Linked DNA regions of Rhinolophus ferrumequinum. The protein of the gene in region 1 interacts with the protein of each later gene in a pairwise test. Links are inferred from orthologs where the notes say so. Each region holds a gene or a part of one and is shown on either strand. Other genes may lie near its edges.

Region 1 (12,298 bases):
TCTCCCCTTATGTTTGTGTCCTCACAGGAGGAAAGACAGACAGCTCCAGTGTTTCTTTTCTTATAAGGGCACCAGCTCTATCAGATTAGGACCCTGCCTTTATGGCTTCGTTTAACCTTTCTTACCTCCTCACAGCCCGTCTCCAAATATAGTCACATTGTGGATTAAGGCGTCAATATGTGAATTTGGGAAATGGGGAGATCACAGACCATGAAAGTTTTGTCTCTTAAATCTCTTTTATTATATAATTGCCTCCCCGCTGATGCTATTGATTTGTTATTTGTTCTATAGAATTTCCCACGTTCTATATTTGCCCAATTGTTTCCTCACTGAGTCATTTCCCTTGTTCTTTTTTCCTCTGTATTTCTTATAAATTGGTAGAGGCTTGACTAGATTTGAGTTTAAACATTTTTCAGTAATACTTTATAATAGTTGCTATCATTCCCTTTTTTTTTTTTAACAGAAAAGCAAAAACCTATACAATACAAGCTGCAAAAACAGATAGAAATTTCCTTACTATTCTGGCCCTGCTGTATTTACACTTGTATTTTTATGGCGTCCAGTTTGTGGGCTTCAGGTCTAAAGTTGCTTCAATAACCCACCCATACTAAAGAGCACTGTTAGCTTAAGGGGTAAACTGTAAAACCTCTAGGTTTTGCTTACTGTGTATAACAATTCCAAAGTATGTTTCTGAGTTTTGATAAATTAAGTGACATTGCCTAATTTTTTTACTCTGATGAACAAAAACAATCCATGGTGTTGAGAAAAGTTTAACCTTGTATGCCTCAGAAACTAAGATTAAAAATCAATACACATGATCACAAGAGAAAAAAATATTACTTCCACCTGGAGGACCCAGATATTTTGGGGAGGAAGTAACAGTGGAGCTAACCTTGAAGGACATGGAGTATTTAGATGTTTGGGAGGAAATGGGGAAGGACACTGAAACTGGAGGAACTTTATGACCAAAGCAAAGAAATGCCCATTGATTAGTTTCTGCCAGGAAAGGGATTCTGTGTAGCTTGTTCTTAGGGTGCAAGAGAAGTCTGGAAAGTTGGGTTGGGAGTTAAATTATCAATTACCCTGAAAGCTGGCCTTCATTGATGAACCATCAGAAGTTTTTTTGTGTGTGTAAGCACTATTTTTCCAAAGAGCCTGTTATTTTACTTGATTCTTACCCCCCTCCCCTTTTTCCACCTCCCCCCGCCCCCTCACTCCAGTTCCAGCTGTTGTTTCTCAGTCTAGTTGTGTAGGACACAGCCCCCTGGCCCATGCAGGTATTATGAGCCTTGCACTCCTCCCAGCTGAGGCAGTCGGTCACCGGCTGCTCAGGGCAGCCCACGGCAGCCCAGGGCAGTCCATGCCCACCTCGGCAGCCCAGCTCCAGGGAGAGCTGTTGTTCACAGTCTTAGCTGTAGAGGGACAGTGATCCAACTGCCTGAGCCACTGGGCCGGCCTGTTACTTATTCTTACAAAAGGTAGGCAAGGACCAGGTCATTGGACTAATGAGGAAAATATAGATTCAACGATTTTCCCAAGATATCCAGTCGACGATGATGATGATGATAGTAATGAAAATAGTAACAGCTAACATTTATCAAGCGTTTTCTATATGCCAGGTCCCTGTTCTAAGCACTTTATAGGCATAATCTCACTTATTCTTCTCAGCAACCATAAGAATTACATACTGATATTATCCCCATGTCACACATGAAAAAGTCTGAGACTCAGAGCAGTTAGGTAACTTGCCCGAGGACACACATCTAGCTCCCTGAACTGCTGGTTTCCAAGGTAGCAGGGATTTTTAAACAGGCAAGTGACTGGATCAGACTTGTAGCCACACTGGCTACAGTGTGAGGGATGAATTGAAGGAGAGAGACACTGAGGATGGGGAGACCAGAGAGGGGGCTATTGTAATTGTCCAAATGTACATTGATGAGAACTTGAGTTGGAAACAGGTGAGATCTATTAGGACCTGGTGGGGCTAGCACAGAGCATGTTATAGTCGACAATTTCCTCATCTGTCTCCCATATTAACCTGTAAGCAATCTGAGGGCAGGCACTGCCCATCTTGTTCACTAGTCTGTCCTCTACTTTAAACATCCTAAGTGTTCAATAAATATTAGCTGAATGAATGAATTAGAGGAAGGAGTCTTGTGACTCCCAAGTGTTTGCCTTTAGTGTCTGGGGGACAGGTGGTGATCACTCACCAAGGCAGGAAGGATGGGCTTTGGAACAGGGTGGGGGGTGTTGCAGAGATGCTATAGTTGGGCAGGCGCTTAGGTGTAATCACAGCAAAAGCTTTTGTAGACTTACTGTGTTCCAGGTACTGTTCCAAGTGCCTTTCATATGTAGGTGTCTTTGTTATCTAGAACCAGGAACTGAATAAATCTGGGTAGCAAAAGGGATTAAATAATTTAACCCTCACTACAACCGCATGAAATAGATACTATCACCATGTTTACTAGAATATAAGACCCGGTCTTATGTTAATTTTTGCTCCAGAAGACGCATTAGAGCTGATTGTCTGGCTAGGTCTTATTTTCGGGGAAACAGGGCATCATCAGTGTCATCTTTAGGAGATTAGGAAGGGGAGCCATGGAAAAGTGAAGCAACTGGCCCAAGGCCACATAAATAGCTTCTGAGCTGGGATTACCCCGGGCAGCCAGGCTCCAGGCGACATTGCCTCATTAGAGAATAGAGGTCTGTGTTCAGGTCTAGGCCAGAGCCATAACCGTTCAGGGTCAGGAAATAACCTGCATGGCACCATAGAACCAACAATCAGAGTCATCGTCCTCACCAACAAACCAAGAAAGCCTCGCTCCTGTAAGGGTGGTGCATGGAGACCGGACTGGTTCGGGCTGTGGCAGAAGTGCACTCACATCCCGCTGTCCCCAGAGCTTGAGCGGGCTGTGTTCAGAGCAGCCTGCAAGGGCTATACCTGCAAGGGCTCCATTACCTCTAGACCTTTCTGCTCAGCCTCAGTTACACTGGCCCCACCGGGTCCCAGAACAGGCGATTTGCAGGGAGGGCTGGGGATGGTGAGTCTCAGAAAAGGAGGTGTCCTCTGAGGGGTGGGAACATTGGACTTGAGTCCTCCCTATAACTCCATTTCTCTGTTTTTTTCTCCTTTCTTTCCTTCACGCCCCTCCCACCCTCTGCTCTCCCCATTTTCCTCAGTTGTGCTGACTGTCCTCACCCACACCCCCACCACTCAAGTCCAACTGGGAAAAGACGCTCTGCTGGATTTGAGCTTTGCCTACATGCCCCCCACTCCAGAGGCCACTACGTCTCTGGCCCCAGGTCCCCCTCCCTTTGGGCTGGAGTGGCGACACCAGCACCAGGGTAAGGGGCACCTGCTCCTGGCTGCAACTCCTGGGCTGGATGGGCAAATGCCAGCTGCCCGACATGGGGCAGTGGCATTTGCTGCTTGGGATGATAATGAGCCATGGGGTCCATGGACCGGAAATGGGACCCTCTGGCTGCCTGCAGTGAGGCCCTTCCAGGAGGGCGCCTATCTGGCCACCATACACCTGCCATACCTGCAAGGGCAGGTCACCCTGGAGCTTGCTGTGCAGAGTGAGTTGGGGGACACGGGTCCTCACGGGTAGAGGGGAGACATTATGGAGACACCATGATAGGGGAGGGATGGTGGAGAAGAGGATGTTGGGTGAGTGGGTGGAGATAGGTTGGGGTGTCTGGGAGTCAGAAGGGCAACGGATGGAGGATCCCTGGGAATCTGAGGGCTTTGGGGACGAAGGTTCTCAAATCTGAGGGGACAGGGATCCCTGAGAACTGAGGCGTTGGCATGAAGATTCCTGTGATGCACCAATGGGGAGATAGTGGGTTCCCCATCCTGAGAGAAGAAACCCAGACACTCTTCAGTTTTGGAGAAGCCAAAGGACAAACAGGGTCTCTGAGGGAGGACAATGTGGATTGATTCACCCCATGCTCTTTTCCTACTCTCTTCCCAGAGCCCCCCAAAGTATCCCTGATGCCAACACCTCTTGTATGGGCTGTGCCCGGGGAAGCACCCCCCGAGTTGCTCTGCCTCGTGTCCCATTTCTACCCCTCCGAGGGCCTGGAAGTGGAGTGGGAGCTCCGAGGAGGCCCAGAGGGCAGCTTTCAGAAGGCCCAGGGAAAGAGGTGGCTCTCAGCCTTGCGCCAACACTCTGACGGTTCTGTCAGTCTCTCCGGGCACCTGCAGCTGCCCCCGGTCACCTCTGCACAGCATGGGGCACGCTATGCCTGTCGTGTCCACCACCCCAGCCTGCCTGCCTTGGGGCGCAGTGCTGAAGTCACCCTGGAAGTGGCAGGTAAGAGCCAGGATAGAGAAGGGGGGTGGAGGGTACCTGAGAAGATACTCCAGAACTCACTCTTGCCCCTCCTACCCTCCAGGTCACTCTGGACCCTCCCTGGAGGATGGTGTAGGCCTCTTCCTGTCTGCTTTTCTGCTCCTGGGGCTCCTCAAGGCACTGGGCTGGGCAGGTGAGTGAGCCCCGCCCCCTCCACCTACAGACGCTCCCTGCCTCCTCCCAAAAGCCCGCCAGCCATCCTGCCAACCACGCCCCATCCCATCCCTTTCTGTCTCTCTCCACAGCTGCCTACCTGTCTGCTTCCAAGGAGTCAAAGAAGGTAAGAGCGCTTCACCTTAGCCTTATCTTTCCCTTCTCATTTCATGCCCTTCCCCCAACTCCTCACCCATGGAGGGAGCCTGCTGGCATGGTGGGCAGAACCTAGACTTGGAATTCACACAGACCTGGGTTAAACTCTGCTGCCTTGAATATGCTACTTAACCAATACCTCAGTTTCCTTGGGAATAGGGATAACAGCACTGTCCAATAGAAATGTAATGCAACCACATCTGTAAATTTAAATAATCTAGTAGTCACATTCAAAAGGTGTTGACGAAAGAAACGTCCAAACCTGTAGAGAATTTTTATGTTTATTTGAACCGAAACTGACAACAGTTACAGGGAAGCAAGATCTCAAATGCTCCATAGAATGAGTTTGCAGCTTCTTTGATGTACCTTAGGGAACTTAACGAAGGTTACCAGAAGGTGGGAGAAAGCAAGGTGGGAACTGGATTACAGGATAGTTAAAATTATTTGCTCTCTTAAGGGTCGTTACAGCTTATTTCAAAGGTGTGTTAACCTAGATGTACAGGAAAAATGGACCGGGCTTGCTTAAGGCAAAGATAAATCTTTTACTAAAGAAGTTATAAACCTGGGCCGTGACTACCCACCATGAGCTGCAGTTAGGAGCTTGTTATGATCGGGTCACCCTGGGAGGTTCCTTTCCGTAGAACTTTTTCGTCCTGAAAGGTAAAAAAGAAACAAGTAAATTTAATATACTTTATTTCATCTAATATACCCAAAATACTATTTCAGCATGTAATCAATATAAGAAATTCCAGTGTGTTTTTCTAAGTCTTCAAAAACAGGTGTCTATTTTAAATTGTCAGCACTTCTGACTGACCGCATTTCAAATACTCAGTAGACACGAGGGTGGTAGCTATCGCACCGAACAGTGGAGCCCTCAGAGGGCCGTTGGGAGGATGAAAGGAGATAGTGTATCTCCTTTGGCAGATGCAGGAGCAAAAAAACTCACCAGTGTCTGCCAGGCAGATAACACAGAAAATGTTAGCCCCATTCTTCTCCCACCCTCTGTACCCATGATGGTTCCTTTATCTCGGATTAACCATGAGCTCTTCACCAAGCTTTCTAAAACCTCAAATTCCTCACCTCATTTTTACTTCTTTTCCAGAAAGTACAGTGAGGGTACTCAACACCATGCTGGGGAGCCACCATCATCTCTGGCCTGAGCTGCTGCAGTAGCCCCCCCCCCCCCCCCCAGTATGCCATCACCTGCTTCTGCTCCTTCCCATCTCTCTCCACTGAATGGCTGGAATTCTTTTTTTTTCAAGACCCAAATCTACAGCATTCACGTTCTTAAGAGCTCTAGGGCAGTGGTTCTCAAAATTTTTATCTCAGGACATCTTAAAAATCAAGGACTCTAAAGAGATTTTGCTTATGTGGGTTATAAACTATTTATCATACTAGAACTTAAAACTGAGAAAAGTTCAAAGCAGAAGACACAAGCACACATTCCACTAGCTGTGAGGGTGATGTCAGTACACATGTACCTTCTGGAAAACTTCACTGTACGCTTTTAAGAGAATGGGCGTGAAAAAGACAAATAACATCTTCGCAGTGTTATGAAGAGACTTAACTTTGTATACCTAGTGCAATAGTCTCAGGGACCTCTGGGGCAGGGCCCACACCGGAAGAACCGGTGCTCCAGAGGCCAAATCCATTCTTGCTCTTGGAATATGCATTTCCGACGATGGTGCCACTGCTTGACCTCTTCCACCCCTCTCAATGCTCGTCACACGGACCGCTATTCCTCTCCTCCAGTGGCCTCCCACCCTCCCGTTGGGTCCCAGAACTCTGCTCCTTCTGCCGGGTTCGCACTCGCTCTCCCTGGGGTCCAAATCAGGTCAGCCTCGTCATTCCCCTCAGACCCCCGCGTGTCCCTCTAGTGCGGTTCACCATGCTTGTATTGAAGTGATTGTGCGAGTCGTTGTTAAAGCCCGTCTCCCCTTCTGGACTCGCAGCTCCTCGAAGGCAAGAACCCGCGCCCGCAGTGGGCCTAGCGCCCACTGGAGGGCGCTCAGTGGAAGAAATTACAGAATGTTTTTGGTCCTAAATATTCAAAAACAGACGTGGGGTCAAATAAGTACAGGACGAAGGAAGCGGCGGCTCAACGGAGGGGCCTTCGAGGGGCTGGACGGTGGGCCAGACCGGCAGGGGGAGCGGGCTTGGTCCGATGGGAATAAAGTTGTGTTCCAGTGCTTCCAACGGGTGTCTCATTTCTACCCCAGGCTCCCCTTTCTAAGCACAATGACTCCACCAATCACCTCCGGTCCCTTCCAATTTCCCCGACCTCCCGGCGAAACCCAATCCCCCTGCGAAACACTTTGGGGTCGGACGCCCGCTAGCACTAAGGTTTCCCTGGCGACCAAGGGAGCGGAGATCCCGGCCTCAAGCGCCGGAAGCTGCCGAGCGCCCACTCTGGAACCGGATGTAGCGGCTTCCTGCTCCGCCCCCTCTCCTAGCGGGAGGCGGGTCCCGAGGGCTCTCCGCAAAACCCGGAGTGGATTTCGGGCCGATACGCGCGTGGGTGGGGTGGGGTGTGTAACCCCGCGGGGTGGAGTAACTGGGTCCTTCCACGCTAAAACGCGTACCGCGGGAGTTTCAGTCTTGTGTGGGGGGAGAGGAATGTCAAATTCTCCTGTCCTCCCCCGGAGCTGGAGACTAGAATCTTTATCCCAATTCAGTCGGGGCGACGTGGGCTCCAGGATCCCCCAGTCAGTGGGGCCGGAGGACAGCGGAGCTGGGGACCCGGGCTCCTGGGTCCTGGCCTCTGGCCCCTGGGCGTCCAGCACTCCCCTAGTCCGTGGGCCTGGCTCCTGTCCTCACTTCCTTCCCTTTTTGGCTCCTGCTCTCGGAACGGGCGGACGTTGGGGGGAGCGGAAAGGGCGGGAGGGCCCGGGAGCCTGGCGGGGGGGTACAAGGGGGTGCGGAAAAGCCGGGGAGGGGACTTGGTCTGGGGACTCGGTCGGGGGCTGGAGACCGACAGGAACAGCTGCCCGGGACCCGCGCGCTGCCCCCACCCCTCCCGAGCAGGTCAGAGCCAGAGCACCTTGTGATCCTGCCCGTTCCCGTACTCGTGACCCCTTCATCCCCCCAATGCACTAAGGCTCCCCATATTTCACCCCTGTGTTGCTGCCCCCCCCCCGCCTCCCTGCAGGACTCGTTACCTAGACAACTACCCGCGTCCCTCCCGAATCCCGGGCGCCCACCTGCCTCTCCACCCGCCCCCCCTCCTTTCTCTCCCCAGGCGCCCCCATGGCCCGACCCTGCTGACTCCCCTCGGCCATGCTCCCGCGGCCTCTGCGGCTGCTTTGGGACCCGAGCCCCCCCGGGGGAGTCGTGCTGAGCAGCTTCCGGAGCCGAGACCCCGAAGAAGGTGGGGACCCAGGTGGCCGAGGCGTGTGCGAGGGACAGGAGGAGGAGGAGGAGGAAGAAGAAGACGAGGTGAGCTGCAGGTGGTGGGAGGTTGGGGGATGTATTTCGGGGACTCCACCTTTCCGTGTCTGTGTCCCTGCATCTCTTCCCCCCGACTCAGTTATTTCCGCTCCTCTTGCTGGTGTCTGTCTGCCTTTCCCCTGGCTGCGGGGAGTCCTGGCGTTTCTGTGGTTCTTTGTGGCAGTGTGACTCAGGACCTGCCCGCAGGAACCTGCTCTGTTACTACCAGGAGCGTCTGGCTGGCTGTCCTGCGGGTCTCTGGCCCTCTCCACCAGGGCCTGAGTGTGCCTTCCTCTCTGGGCTTTGTGTCTTGGTCCCTTGTTTTTGTTTGGCGGGGAGGGGTTTGTTTCCACAGTAACCGGCTCCTCTGACTCTGGGATTGGGGAGGGAACCCTTCGATTTCGTGACCCCTCCCCCTCTCCCTCTGGGCGCTGGGTGGAGGTGGGAAGCCAAGGTTCTTGAATCTTGGAGGGACGGTCCCAGGCTGAGCCGGGATGGTCACCTGCTTTCCTCCCGGACGAATAGTGGTGGCCAGGAGCAGGATTTGGGGCCTCAGGAAGGGCCTGAAGTTGGATTTGGGGCCCGGAGGCCCTGGGCTCTAGGGTCCAAGGGCTGGGTGAGGGCAGGGTGACTGGCAGGGCTGGTTTTTCGGGATCGGCTGGGGGAGGGGCTGGAGCCACGTGACTCTCAGAGTCTACCCCCCCACACCACACACACACATCTTCCCCACTTCCCCTTCTCCTTCCTGTACTGGCATCGGAGCCGCCACCTTGAGGGGGGTCTCCAGGGACCAGGGACCAGGGGAAGGGGCTAAGGGGAAGGACTAACTCTCTGGGCTTTCCAGTTCCTTCTGGGGAGGGCGGAGCATGCGGCTGTGCCTGTGACTGAGGTTTCAGCTTCTCAAGGTCTCTGCCTCTAGCTTTCTGTCTGTCGCTTCCCTCTCCTACCCTCTGCACCTTGCTTCTCTTTTGGGTTGGGGTTCAGCTCTGGGGGGAAGGGGCTACGGTAGTCTCCAGGATCAGGGTTTCTGCATTCCACCCACCCCTCCACTGCAACCCCCTCTACTCCACCGGGCCCTGAGGCGGCTTGGGTGGGGCTGTCTGAGCCCCAGTGGGGGAGACCTGGGGTCACCAGCCCCCCCCACCCCTCGCACTCGCTGGTACTGTCCCCTTCCGCCACAGGTGAGGGGTACAGAGGGAGGAGTAGGGCCTGGGGGTGAGGGCTGGGGGCAGTGGGTGGTAGTGTGGGCCTATCTGACCTCCCCTTCCTTATTTCTGCAGGCCCCTGTGTCTATCTGGGATGAGAAGGAGGATGGTGCCATCTTTACTGTCACAAGCCGCCAGTATCGGCCTCTTGATCCCTTGGTGAGATCATAACTTTGGCTTCTCACCTCTGACGCATCAACCCCAGAATGGCCAACTGTTAGGCCAGAGTGCTAGGTTGGAGGTCTGGAGACCTGGACTCTGCGGTGTGACTTAGGTCAAGTCTTTGGCCCTCTCTGAATTTTAACACAATGAGCCTGGATTATCTCCTAGAAGGGGGTTTCCCTAGAGATCTAGGGGCAGAGTTGAAGAAAGGGGTAGTGACTGACCTGTGTTTTCTCCAGGCCCCAACACCTCCCCCGCGTTCCTCCCGAAAGATCCGAGCTGGCACTTTGGAGGCTCTGGTCAGACACCTGCTGGATGCTCGGACATCAGGGGCTGACGTGACCTTCACTGCAACCTTCCTGGCCACCCACCGGGCCTTCACCTCCACTCCTGCCCTGCTAGGGCTTATGGCTGACAGGTCAGGGTCAGAGGGACCAAGGGTCACAGAGGTGTCTGGACTTTCTAAAGCCAGAATATCCCACCAAAATAGTCAAAGCCACTGGGGGTTTGGGAAAAATGGACAGATAGAATCTCTCTCCCACCCCAGGCTGGAAGCCCTTGAAGTTCATCCTACTGATGAACTAGAGAGGACAAAAGGGTGAGTGACCCCTGCTTCTTAACCTCACAGGCCCCTCTGCCTGAGCTGCAGCTTGACATCTGACCCCTGGCTGATTCCTTTTCTCCCAGGGTAGCCATCTCTGTGCTGTCAACCTGGCTGGCCTCTCACCCTGAGGATTTTGGCTCTGAGGTCAAGGGTCAGCTTGACCGGCTTGAGAGCTTCTTGCTTCGGACAGGGTATGCAGCAGGGGAGGGTGTTGGGGGGGGCAGCGCTGACCTCATCCGCAACCTCCGGTCCCGGGTGGACCCCCAGACCCCCGACCTTCCTAAGCCCCTGGCCCTCCCCGGCGATCCCCCTGCTGACCCCACGGATGTCCTGGTGTTCCTCGCTGACCACTTGGCCGAACAGCTGACCCTGCTAGATGCGGTGAGACCCTGACCCCCATGCCCCCTGCCCCTTTACTAACCTTTCCCTGACTCCAGATCCTTTCCTTGCTTCCAACCCTTCCTGATCCAGTTCCCAGCCTCCTCCGTCCACCCAGTTTTGACTTTTCCCCTTTTCCCCTTGGTTGTTACCCTTCAAACCCTGTGCCCTTCTGGTTCCTTGGCCAACTAAGAGCTTCACACCCCTAATATTGGAAGGCTGACCTCTCTTGTCTATGAACTTTAACCTCTGACCTCTGCCCCACAGGAGCTGTTTCTTAATCTGATCCCCTCTCAGTGCCTGGGGGGCCTGTGGGGTCACAGAGACCGGCCGGGACATTCCCACCTCTGCCCATCTGTCCGAGCTACTGTCACACAGTTCAACAAGGTGGCAGGGGCAGTGGTCAGCTCTGTCCTGGGGGCTACTTCAACCGGAGAGGAGCCTGGGGAGGTGACCATACGGCCACTCCGTCCTCCCCAGAGGGCCCGGCTCCTGGAGAAGTGGATCCGAGTGGCAGAGGTAAGAGAGAGGATTAGCCCTGTCGGGGACCATGATGTGGAGAGAGGTCCTACAGCTTCAGCCTCCCTCTGTGACCCTCACAGGAGTGCCGTCTACTCCGAAACTTCTCTTCAGTTTATGCTGTTGTGTCAGCCCTGCAGTCCAGCCCCATCCACAGGCTTCGGGCAGCCTGGGGAGAAGCAGCCAGGTGGGCCAGATGGCACACTGGACTGGGTTGAGGGCTGGGAAAGGGGGGTGCCGAGCCAGGCCTGTCCTCACGCCTTCTGCCCTCCATTCCCCAGGGACAGCCTCAGGGTCTTCTCCAGCCTCTGCCAGATTTTCTCCGAGGAGGATAATTATTCCCAGAGCCGGGAGCTGCTCCTGCAGGTGAGGCCTGTTCCCTGGTGTTCCTAGCCATCCCTACTCCCCCGCCCACCCCCATATCTCCTTGTTCTGTTACCCCCAGGAGGTGAAGGTGCGGCCCTCCTTGGAGCCAAATTCCAAGAAGGCCCTGAAGTCTGGCTCCCGTGGTGGGGTGAGTGCCTGGGAGTGGTTGTGAAGGACTAAGGAGTGTGTGTGGGGTGCCGTCTGAGGGACAGAAAAGGAAGGCACAGAGGGATGAGGACAATTTTCTGTGTCTTCTGAGGCAATGGAATGGGAAAGTGTGGAGGGATGGAGAGCCCTCAGGTCTGTCTGACTCTGACCTCTGACCTCAGGGTGTGGTTCCCTACCTTGGCACTTTCTTGAAAGACCTGGTGATGCTGGATGCAGCCTCCAAGGATGAGCTGGAGGTCAGTGCTGTGTGTGTTCATGTGTTCAGTGCAATGACAGAACAAATGGTCCTCGGGGTCAGACAGAACTCCCTCCTGAAAGCGGCTGCAGGCAGAAGCACTGAGGACCCACCGGGACTTGAGCCAGAGTGCCGGGGTCTTGGTTCTGTTCCTTTGGCAAGTTGCTGACCTCATTGTGCCTTAGTGATATATTTTTTTTTAAACCTTTTTGGCCAGGTTCTTGACCTCTTGGTGTTCTGTAATTTCTATTTCATTTTTTTTTAAAGATTTTATTGGGGAGGGGGAACAGGACTTTATTGGGGAACAGGACTTTATTGGGGAACAGTGTGTACTTCCAGGACTTTTTTCCAAGTCAAGTAGTTGTTCTTTCAATCTTAGTTGTGGAGGGTGCCGTTCAGCTTCAAGTTGTTGTCCTTTCAGTCTTAGTTGTGGAGGCCGCAGCTCAGCTCCAGGTCCAGTTGCCATTGTTAGTTGCAGGGGGTGCAGCCCACCATCCCTTGCGGGAGTCGAACCGGCAACCTTGTGGTTGAGAGGACGTGCTCCAACCAACTAAGCCATCTGGGAGCTCAG
Region 2 (12,086 bases), on another chromosome or scaffold:
GCCTACTGAAATATTTATAGGATTACCCTGAAACTACCCGAATACGGAAAAAAAAAAAAGTACAGATGAAACATGAGTAGCAAAAATTAGGGGACATTTTGAAACATGTGTACATGGAGGCTCATTAAATTCTTCTCTCTATGTATATTTGAAATTTGCCATTATAATTTTTTTTTTTAATTAAGACCACTATTTGGAGAATAGATGGGAAGAGGGACAAGAGTAAAAGTACATAAACCAACCAGACAATGGAAATGTAGAAAGGTGGTCATATTTTAGTGATTTCAGAAGTAGAATCAAGAGGACTTGGTGAAGAATTTGGTATGTAAGGTAAAGGGAAATGTTAGGTTTCTGTTTTAGGGAGCTGGTACCATTTGTTGAGATAAGGATTCCTAGAGGAAGTGCAGGTTTGGGGGAGATCAATCAAGGAGAAACTTTCCAAGAGTTAACTGGCTCTACATATCCAGAGTTCGCCAGAGAAGTCTGAACTTCAGATACAGATCTATGAGCCGTTGACATTTAGATGGCATATAAAGCCATGGGAAAGACTGGAACTGCCCAGAAGAAAGTACACAACAAGGAAAGGGCCCAGGATCAAGCTCTGAGGGATTCCAGCCCTTACAGGTAAGGAGGAAGAAGAGATAGCCCAAAGAAAGAGTATGAACCAGCCAGAGAGAAAAGAAGACTCTCATGAGAATAAGGTGCGATGAAAACTAAGGCAACAGTGTTCTAAACGCTGATTAGCAGTAGTTGAAATAATTCTTTAAGAACTGTATTTAGTATCTAGGGATTCAAACAGGTTGTTTTTTTTTTAGCTTCTCTACTAATCACATTCTATTATAAGCTACCCATGCTATAAAATTTACAGCATTGTTTGCATTACAGAAATATTTTCAAGTTACAAGCCACTGACATAAAGAAACTTGAGAACACAACCACTCCTTAACTGAGGACTGTCATAAGCAAAGTAAAAGGAAAGTTTAACAAGCACTTGTTGAATTCTTACTATGTTTTCACAAAGTTTTATTGTGCCAGAGAATGTAGTAGGGACCAACATTTATTGAGAATCTTTTAGGTGACGATAGCTAACATGTATAAAAGTGCTTACTTCGTGGTGGGCATTATACTGTTTTTGTCGTTAACTGTTTTAATCCTCACCATAATTCCATAATGCAGGTTTTATCACTGTATTCATTTTACAATGAGGAAACTGAGGTGTCAGAAGTAAATTCCCTAAGATGAATGGAGCCTGTATTTGAACACTTACAATCTGATTCCAGAACCAATCCACTTAATAGCTACTCTATTACTTACATTTTTATATCTGGTCCATTATTCTATAAAATCTTTAAAGCACTACATTACAGATATTGTTATGTGCATTTATTTTAAAAATTACTAAAAAGAAACTTGGAAAGGTTAAATAACTGCCAGAGGTCATACATCCACTATGATCAGCTTGGAGAATCTAACGAAAATTATCAAGATACCCCACCCACACACACAAAAAACACTACATTTTATATCTAATATGCCAGACTGTATGATAGGTACAAAAAAAATATGCTTTTGGTTCTCAAGGATCTCATGATGGGAGGAAGACAAACACAATTTAAGTAAGGCCGTGTCTGATAAATATCAAACGAGTGGTACAAACAATAATTACTAGGGAAATTCTGAGAAGCAAGAATCCACTGGGTCGTGAACAATGACCAAGATTTAGATAAATACAAAAGAGACAGAAGAGATTTTCTGGCTGAAAGAACAGCATTTATAAAGGGATAATAGGGCAGCATGGTGCCAAAAGAAGGCAGACAACGATACAAATTTCAACTCTGCCCACGTATTTATGCATGGCCTTGGCACTTAGCTTTTCTAAGCTTTAGCTTTCTCACCTGTACAATGGGTCATTAAAATCTACCTCTTGAATTTGGTATTTATTATTGAGGTATGTGATTCGTACACAGAACTTGAAGTAAGAAGGACTAGAGGCTAAATACTATCATGATAAAGTCTGAGGGGATGCCTAACTCTGGAGCATCTTTGGCGTGATTATATTGTCTGTTTGATTTGGGGACTCCCCAGATTCTAAAAGCATTTATATATGTGGTTTTTGAAGATTTTCTTAAATTTTTTTCGAAAATTTCATGACAAGGGGTATTCTATCAAGTTGGTTCACTGAGTGGTTTTCTGCTTTAACGCTCATTTACATGATGGCTCTGGGAACATCATTTTCATTTATATGGTTTTTCTCAGTTACAGCTTAAGAAAGGGGGACATTTCAAGTATAATCTGTTCATTACATCACAGACATTAGCAATGACAAAATTATAGAACAGTTAGATTTATTTAGTGTGGTGTAGGCAGGTTTGGTGGCCAAGCCTACAACTGCTGAAAAAGAGTACAGACAGAATTTGACATATATCTTGAGACAAATAAGCAGTTATTACAGAGTAGAAAACATGCCAAACTGCCTCATTTTTTTCTTACATATAAGTATTTGGTTTCCCCAAGACAGAAATCTTAAAGGAACACAAACTACCCTAGGAGAGTATGAGTTCTGGGTTTTCCCATAATAGCAATGGTCTAATATGCTCTTATAGGTTTCTCAAGTGATTAGGTGCTAGAATTTATAAAATAACTGCACAGAGTTTGAATACAGTCTTTGACCAAGAAAACAAAATGAAACTAACTGAGGATTTAAGCCATGGCTTTTCTTTTTTTGCATCAACAAGCAGCCTTCTTATACTTCTCAACCTCCAATTCCAGCTATGCAGGGTACTGCAAAGGAATAGAACTATATTTGTATATTATACACTATATATATATATAAAAATATATAGTGTATTTATATGTTATACACTATATATATACTCTATATATATACACACTATATATATCTTTATATATTTATATATTATACAATATATATTTATATATATTATGATAAATATATATAGTGTATATACACACACACATACATGCATATACACATATGCACACACACAGAGAGAGAAAACCAGTAAGAAAGTGCCTTGAAAAGATCAATTTTCAATATTGTTTTGTGAATGAAATAAAGTAATAATATTTAAGGTTAATGACTATCAGTGCTAACCGATAACCATGCTTAACTGAAAGCTAAACAGCATAACACTTGTTAATGCTAATAATCATTAACTGTTAATTAGGAAAATTGTAAATTTGGGGTGTTTTAAATCTAATTTTGGATTTGCAATAAGACATGCACTTATATGGACTTTTGAAATGAAGCTAATGAGGTATAGATGTTACATGAAGTAAAACTCTTAAGGAGGTAAATAACATGAAAAATCACGAATACTGTATCAGGTTAAATGCATCAAGAATTTTAGGTGAGCACACTATTAATTCACTTCCCCTGAAAGGGGAAAAACTAATGTTGAGCTTCCTCTAGTCCCAGGGGCTAGGATATGGCTATTTTCTATACTTTATCTTACAACAGTTTTGCAAGCCAGAGGTTATTATCCCCATGTTATAGATGAGAAAACCAAGTCTCAACATGGTTAAGGAATTTGCCTAAGAACACACAGCTAATAAGTGGTGGAAGTGAACATCAACTATCCTGTTTTCCACTATTCCACAGCACCTTAGGAAAAGAAAACTCAACGAATACATTTCGAATGCCTATTATGTCAAAAGCACCATGCCAAACATGAAAAAATATATATCCTGATCTTATGATTTTATCTTCTAGTACAGGCAGGACCAACTACAAAATTTGAGGGACCCAGTGCAAAATGAAAAAGCAGGCCTCTTGTTCAAAAGTTATTAAAAATTTCAAGATGGTGACATCAGAGCATTAAACAAATCATGGGGCCTTTCTAAGCACAAGGCCCTGTCACATGTCCAGGAGGCTGGCCCTGAGTATAGGAGGGCAAATGATGGCCTGCTGCCCAAATCCAGCCCACTGCCTGTTTTTGTACAGAGGAGGTAAGAATAGTTTTCACATTTTTAAATGTTTTAAAAAAGAAGAATATTTGTGACATGGGAAAATTTTACAGAATTCAAATTTTAGTGTCCATAAATGAAGTTTTATTAAGAATACAGCTACACTCATTCTTTATATATCCGATGGCTGTTTTTGCACAAGAAAGGCAAGAGTTGAGTAGTTACAACAAAGACCATCTGGCCCTCAAAGTCTTAAATATTTATTATGTGGCTCTTTAAAGAAAAAGTTTGCGAACACTTGTTCAAGTAGGAAGGTACAAAACAAGTGACAAAAGAAAGGAGCACCACAGTGTTACTCAGAGTCGAAAGAGAAGAAACCACATTAGATTGAAAATATCAGAAAAGATGCTCTTTCTTGGAGAAAGTGAAGACTTTGAATAATGCGCAGGGGTGGGAAAGGGCATTTCAGGCAGAGGAAGTCACCTCTGCACACCAGAGGAGTGGGCAAGCACTATGTTTGGGCAAGATGAAAAGTCCACTTTGACTGGAAGGCAGTTTTAAATGAAATGGGAGTGTAAGACACAAGAATTTTAACTTTATTTTGGTATGGCGGGGGAGTAACAGAAGACTCTTTGAGGAAGAGAGTGACTTGCTCAGTATGCTTTAAGATAATTCATCTGGCAACAAGGTGTAGAATGGATCACTGCAGAAACAGACCAGAGTCCACAAGGCTTAAGTCTAAGAGTTGAGAAGTAGTGCCCACCCAAAAAGGGTGTTCTTAGTAGAAATGATTTACTAATAGATGTGCCAATTGACTGATGGTTGGAGAAAAAGCAGAGAACAGAGTGCCAGGTTTGAAGGCTGGGTAATTTCAAAAATGGTGATAACGGTTAATGAAAAGAAACTGGTTTTGTGACAAAGGTGATGACTTCAGTTTGCACACATGACCAGTTCAAGTTGCCAGTGGAATATCCTAGTGAAGATTTCAAGGAAATAGGAAAAAGGGGCTCAAACCCAAAAGTGAGTTCAGTGCTAAGAGATGTAGATTCTAGCATTCTGCATGAATTTCCTACATAGAGATAATAGTTTAATACAAGTTTAATGATTTCCAGTATAACGGAATAAAACAAATGTATTTTCAACTATTTTACACATTCTCTCAAACTTTGAATAATTCTAGCTCCAATCTTCTAAAACTGACTATGAAAAAAAATCAATTGCCCAAAGGTCAAGTAGAATTTCAAAAACAAAAGAAGAAAAAGAAAGAAAAAAACAAAACAGTACACCCAGGTAATATCTGCTTCCATGAACTCAGAGTTTCAGGCTTTCAGAATTCTCACAGTTTCACGCAATAATTGTAAAGTCAGTAAAGTTAAATTTATTTGAAATTCATTCATTCAGAATTCAATGACTCCCCGCCCCAAACCCCTACTTTACCCTGCACTTTGCTCTCTTTGAACCTCTCGCCCATCAAAACTTCGGTTCATAAAAAAGCCGATGTCTTGTAGGAAGGGTAGGTGTAGTTCAGTCTTTTCCCTAATAATGGTTAAGTTCCCGCACTTTTTGGAACCGAAAGTGCTTTCTGTTGCCCACCAGTCACATCATAAACCTACCTATGAGTAACCCTTTAAAGTGCCCGAGTCATGCATTTAAATAGGCGATTTATTTTATTCATATAAACGGTTGATTTAGGCTCAGAGTACAAAATTGTTTGGGATCATCGATTTGTTAACTGACTTTGGCAAAGTAAATTGGAAAGAGTTCACCCGGGTTAACACACCAGAGGATGAAATACTTGTCAATTCAAGAAAAAAACCTTCACGAGGCTCTAGGTGTGGACACTGCGCGCTGGGTTACTTCTCCAGCCACTTTCCCCAGCACAAAGGAATACGCAGTCACCAACTGTTTGGTGGCGTTAGTGACTGAATTCCAGTTTGCCTTAAAGACACCTTTTGAGTTTCGGAGGGTTTCTAAGCCCTTCACAATAGTGTAACCCGCTGACGTCCGGGAAGCCAACACGCGGATCCTCCCGGAGCCAGAGGGCCGAGGCCAGTTTGAAGGGGCGGTGGGGGCCGGAGAGAAACACCGCGGAGGAAACACCGTGAAGGGTACCGCGCGTGTCCGGCCGCCGCCGCGAAGGCGCGGAAGGCCCCGCCCCTCGGCTCCCCTCGCTCCGCCCCGCGGCCCCGCCCCTTCCCGGGCCTCGTACCCGCGCACCCCGCCCGCGGGCGGAAGCGAGAGCGAGGCTGAACGCCTGACGTCAAGGCGACACCGCCAAACCTCGCCCAGAGTCAGGCGTGTAAACCAGCCGGAGAGGCGGCGGCGGCGGCAGCGGCAGGACCGCCGTGGCGCCGGGACCAGCGACCCGGAGGAAGCGCGAGGCGCGGGGCGACGCTGGCTGCGGGGACTCGGTGACAGCGTGAGAGGTTCGCAGAGTGCGTGCGTGGCCGATGAAGGGAGCGGCGGCAGCGGCCGCGGCCGCGCGGGGCGGGGGCCCGGCGCCGGCTCAGAGGAGCGGGTGGGGTGCGGCGCGGGCCGGGCGGGGCGCGCGCGGCGGTCAGGGGCCCCGGCGGCGGCGGTCTCGGAGCGCGGCAGGTGGTGCGAGGGACCGGCGCCGGGCCGGCGAGCGCGCTGCCTCCCGGGCCGGCGGGGGCGAGCTGCTGCCGCCGCCGCCGCCGCCGCCGCGGGGAAACAGCGCGCTTTGCGGAAGGGGTCAAATGTCTGAAATATGGCGGAGGAAGTGAGAGCCCGAGGACCCCCCCCAGCACCACTCCTTTCTGCCCGCGGCCGCCTTAACCTCTCTCCTTGCCTGTAGTCCCCCGTCCCGGAGCCCCCTCGCTGGCCGCCTCGGTTCTCTTCCTGGTGTGGGTGGAAGTTAGAACGGAAACCAGAAAGTTGTCTTTTGCAAAGACCCAGCTTCCCCCAGCCCCGAGCCTGGGCGAGTGGCGTTCGGGGGAAACCACTCCCCGGCGCCCTGCAGGCTCGAGCCTGACAAGGAAAAAGTTTGCCTGAAACGGGGCTGGTTTGCTCCATTTGTTGAGGGAAGTGGCAGGAGGACGGCCGCGGAGGGAGCCCCACCTAGTCTGGCAGCAACCACTGCGTAGGGAAAAACTGTTAAAGGGGCCTTTCCCCTTCGTCAGCAAGAGGAAATCTTTTACAGAAGGAGAGAAAACCCAGGAAGTTTGTACTCTTCTCTTTTTCGCCATCTCGATTCTGTCCAATCCTAAAACTGACTGTCAGCGCCATGAATTTTATTTAAACCTACCTCCAGTGAACCGGAGCATCCGATTTTTCTTCTGAAAAAACTGAGGGCTTTTGGAGAAAAGATCATCCTTGCAGGTTTAAGCAGATTTGCTTTCCCTTCGCCTGCTCCCCCCCCCCCCAATCCTCTTTATTAGTTTAGAAAACCATTTTTGCCCTGCTACTCCTGTTTCGTATGAACATCAGCAGTTTTGGATTACAGTAACGGGAAGTCACGTTTTTCACGGGGTAGAAAGTTGACACTACATGAAGATTGTGATTTTTAATATTTTAAAATTATTTCAGTCTAATTGGATTTTTGTTTGATAATAGCATGTAATATATATCGAGTGCTGGTAACTTAAAGCTTCTAACTTGTAAATTCATTAACTCTCTTTTTTTGTAATTAGAATGCTGTTTGGACTTGCTCAACAAAACCTTATCTTAGCAAGAAGTAACTTATAAAAAAGGAAGACGTTCATTTAACTTCTAGTTCGTATCACTCCCAAAAGCTGACTCTTAAGTAGTATTTGAGTCATAATGGAGTCATGGGACTTTTTTAAGGCCCATAAAGGACTAATTTATTTAGATCATCCAGTCCCACCCTCTCATTTTATGAGGAGGAAACTGAGGCCTAGAAAAGATAACTAATTAGTAATCCTGCTGACTTTTAGGACTATCCTATAATAGGGTCCCTAGAGGAAGAAAGATGACATTTTTATAGTGAGTTACATTTTACAGAGGCTGATATTCCCATCATACCAGGAAAAAAAGGTGGATACCTTAGTGGAACTGGAAGTTTAGGTACTTTATTCCCAGGTGTTAGGAGAGGAGATTGATACTCAGGAAATTAAATAAAGTTAAGACACAGAGCCCTCAGTGATAATTTTATTTGAGCCCATCTCTGCACTACACAGTGTTTTTACTTGCATTTCCTTGTTTGGCATTCACAATAAATTGTGAGGCTGTCTTATCTGAGGAATCCCCAAAGTAAATCTTTGAAATACATATAGGCAGTTTGGTTTTTGTTTTTTTTGTTTTTTGGCAGTTTGGTTTTTAAGGTGCCAGGTACCAGGATACAACTGAGGAGCCCAGTAATAAATTGGCATAATTTTAAAATGTGGTGTAGGGCAAGAAAATGAATACTCTTCGTGTCTTTTGCCTTCCCCCTACCCCATGAAAGTCATCGCTCTTCCTGTCTATGACACATATCACTTCCTATCTTCTGTTGTCTTTATATGTATCTTTGTTATGTATCTATTCCACTAAATTGTGAACTCTAAAGACAGGATGTGTTCTTTGTATGCCCCAAAGCACTGGCATGGTACCTTGCACATAGACAATCCCAGTTAAGTGGAAGCACCATGAGGGTAGGAACTTTGTTTCATTCTCCACTGTATTCTTAGTTCCTAGAAACTTGCCTGTGTGTATAGTGTTTAGCATTTAGATTTAGGGATTAACTGTAATGAACATTTAAAGAGAGGATATTTGAAGAGAACTTTGTATCCCTTCAAAAAGAAACATTTCCACATTGGCTTTGGAATCTAACTTTACTAATTGATTTCCATTTTATCTTCAAAACAATCCTTTACTATAGAATTTCAATATTTTCTCTTAGCTGTATAAAGGGAAGATGAGCACCCATGGTAAGAAGCCACCCACCATGTAAGGAGGGCCTAGTCAAGTGTGATAGAGAATTGATCCACATACATAAGGATATTACCAAGTGTAATTTCCAATGTATTTTGGTAGAAGGCCTGTTATGCAGAGGTTGATAACATGGTAACTAATTATACATGTTGTTATAAAGTCAGGGGGTGGCCAGTCAGCTCAGTCGGTTAGCCCATAGTGCTAATAACAAGGTTGCTGGTTCCATCCCCAGATTCCATCCCCAGTGGGCCACTGTGCGCTGCACCCTCCTTAAAAAAAATAAAATTAAAGTTTAAGATTTGGTTGAGAAACTGCTCATGTTCAGTTTTGACTTTAATTGTAGGCACTTGATGAATATTTGTTAAAGAAGGGTAATCAGTGGAATTAGATCTGATACAAAGAGAATTTGGCTGATTTTATAAATCTGTCATTTTTTCCCCCCAGAATGTAATTTAAATAGGCAATTTTATTATTGAATACCAACTTCTTCCTGATACGCATGGATCATTTTCCTAAAGACTTAAAATAATGTTTTATGTGTTCCTGTGTGTGTGTGTGTGTGTGGATAAAGAAGGTGGGTATTGATTTGTAGTCTCTAGATTTGACTGGCACCAGGAGTCATTTAGTATTTATGAACTAAATATTAGAAAGCTGTTGTTTCCATGATGGCAATGATGTCTACATGTTCGGTCTAGGAAAACTTGAAAAGATAGATCTTTCTTAAACTTTGTAAGACCATATAAGGTTGTGGCTAAATACATGCCTTGGTATTTTTCCCCCTACTATCATTTTTGAGGACTCCATGGTCTTAGAGATTAGGCTGATATTTTTACTGTTAACCTTTTCCAATTGAATTTCTTTTAGAAAAAATTAAGAAACAGACATTTTGGCTGATGTAATGATTCATTGTAACATTGGACAAGTTTTCCACCAATCAGGAGTACTGTACCATGGCACCCTTGTGCTGAAAGCCTCATGTTTTTCAGTGTTCTTAGATATTTTGCAGTAGTATTGAAAGGTATTAATTACATTTTGAGGATTTAAGTCTTTTAGTTTATCAGTTCTGTGGAAACCTTATGAACACAATGGAAGCAGTAGCTACATACAATGAATTTATCCATTTGTAGTAAAGACTGGCTTGCTAGATAATCTGTTGTACTTTGTTTGAACCTAGTTGAGCACTGGATTCTAAGATCAATACCTTTAGTCATAGAGTTTCTATTTTAAAGAAGAAAGGTTATGAGGAACTTTTGTGCTGCCTTTAAAAAATTTAAATCTCTTTTTTAAATGTACCACTAACAAAAAGAAATAGCATTTTTCCATACATCCTAACACTGGTATGTTTATTACTGTTAGTCAAATTCACGGTACACAGCAATTGATTATTATTTCAGTAGTGATTCAGAAAGAATTTTTGCTTTGTATCAGTGGAAGATCAAAAAATTTGAAACTGTTTCCAAGGAACCTTGAAACTTAGAAAAGAAAAATAGGAAAATTGAGGGGACTGTACCAGGTTTCACAATAATATTTAAATCACTTAATCGAAAGAAAAAGTGTTTGCAACATGAATTGCAGAATTTCCATCTGGTTTTTATTATACAGAACAATATTCTTGAGTATTACTATGCTTAAAACTGTTTGCTGGCATATAAGGTGCTCAAGTACTAGAAATGTTACTTTTAAATTAAGAATCTTACTCTAACCACAAAGAGCAAGTATCTAATGTTCTGATTTTGAATTTTACATTGAGCTGAATCCTTAAGCTTACTCTTGTAGTTATGCAGTATTATAATTTTGGGGTTATGCTTCTACACGCGTGTGCGTGTGCGTGTGCGCACACTATGTCAGTGAGACCCTGTAAATTTAAACCGAATTCTTCTCTCATGAGACAACTTGCTGGGTAATCTTCTCCACAGGGGATTAATTTTTTTTTAACTGTTGTACCAGTAGACTGAATAAAGATGTTAAAGGAAGAGAGCATCTGTTAGAAGCAGTTACAAATAATTTTGATCACTTTAAATTGTTGATTCTTAGAGTCATCACTTTGACTACATCACAGAGCTGTTGCTGAGTTTCTCAGTAGTTGGTTTGAAATTTATTTCAGTAAATACATACTTTTAATAAAATAATTTTTTTTCCTATGTTTAAAACTTAGTATTTCGCTAAGTAACTTTATTTTGAATATATACTATGAACTGATTGCCACATTGGTGGATTACCACTGTCTGTTGCTTTCTTTTTCTTTGTCTTGTGGGAAGGGAAAAAAGATGAAAGAAAATCTGTTTTGTCCATTTAATAGCAGTTTTTGGCAAAAGCTTCTGGAGAGGAAATGGAAACTGTTACATGAAATAAAATTCTAATTATCTTCTAAAATTTATCCTTCTCATTAGAGTATGTTTTTCAAGTCACTTTATTAAAAAAAAAAAATAGGGTGACTTTGTAAAAGTTCTTAGTTAATGGAACTGAGGGTATTAATACAGACTATAAATATGTTATTTTCATTTAATAGTTTTTAGGTGTCAAAGTGGTATTCATATTACAGCCAATTGTTACCTTGTGTTTTAAGGTTCCAGTGAGAGTATTACTATTAGTTCGTTATGCCTACATAGTTTTATCTGCTGCTTCTGAGATCATAAGTTATTGTTAAGCTCCTTGGTAACAATAGCAAAACTCAGGAATTTCTCAGGAATCTTGAATTCTGTACTGTACAGGTAATAAAGAAGGATAGGGATGAGCAGTGTGAACGTGTGTATCTGTTATTTTCTCCTGCTCTTGCAATATCTTGAACTGGGATATTGCACTGAATTTGTATTGGTAAGACTGGTTGAGTTTTCATATATGTTTGTCTTTCTGATTTTCTTGTTAAAGTGTTTAGAATACAGAAAAGTATAAAGGAAGAAATTAATATCCCTTCTAATCCTACCAGTACAATGAATTTTTAGGCAAAATTTGTACTTCCCTTTCTGAATCTTTCTTACCTCCTTGCTTCCTCAGTGGGGAAGATGACCATATACTACTTCAAGTTGTCTAGGATTAAATGGAGTATTATACATAAATGCTTATAAAAGAATATACTAATGTAGTATTAGTTCTTGTTTGTTACAAAGCTTTTATTTTCCTGTAGCATTGCTATTCCCAGTGGAGGTTGATGTGATTATTTGATTTTTAAGATTTCCCTTAAGGTATGAATGAAGACGAAGAAAGAATCACTGTGAATGTGAACAGCTTAACATATAAATTGTCTAGCTCAGTGGGTTTCAAAGTATGAT

The links.
Region 2: the proteins of RGL2 (region 1) and RAP1B interact in a two-hybrid assay, tested with the Homo sapiens proteins (2 studies listed by BioGRID and IntAct). The link is inferred for Rhinolophus ferrumequinum from reciprocal best matches to the Homo sapiens genes RGL2 and RAP1B.

The regions. Positions count from the first base shown.
Region 1 is NC_046286.1:3,641,760-3,654,057, reverse strand, and holds the start of RGL2 (ral guanine nucleotide dissociation stimulator-like 2), read left to right. Parts: upstream 1-7,529; 5' UTR 7,530-7,688; intron 7,689-7,902; 5' UTR 7,903-7,940; coding exon 7,941-8,099; intron 8,100-9,370; coding exon 9,371-9,454; intron 9,455-9,696; coding exon 9,697-9,875; intron 9,876-10,004; coding exon 10,005-10,055; intron 10,056-10,144; coding exon 10,145-10,442; intron 10,443-10,706; coding exon 10,707-10,958; intron 10,959-11,041; coding exon 11,042-11,145; intron 11,146-11,239; coding exon 11,240-11,324; intron 11,325-11,403; coding exon 11,404-11,472; intron 11,473-11,653; coding exon 11,654-11,728; intron 11,729-12,298. Other genes in the region: TAPBP (tapasin), read left to right, coding at 3,181-3,579, 3,975-4,316, 4,399-4,488, 4,601-4,635, 5,767-5,778. UniProt on the Homo sapiens protein: Probable guanine nucleotide exchange factor. Putative effector of Ras and/or Rap. Associates with the GTP-bound form of Rap 1A and H-Ras in vitro.
Region 2 is NC_046293.1:64,827,620-64,839,705, forward strand, and holds the start of RAP1B (ras-related protein Rap-1b), read left to right. Parts: upstream 1-6,170; 5' UTR 6,171-6,353; intron 6,354-12,086. UniProt on the Homo sapiens protein: GTP-binding protein that possesses intrinsic GTPase activity. Contributes to the polarizing activity of KRIT1 and CDH5 in the establishment and maintenance of correct endothelial cell polarity and vascular lumen.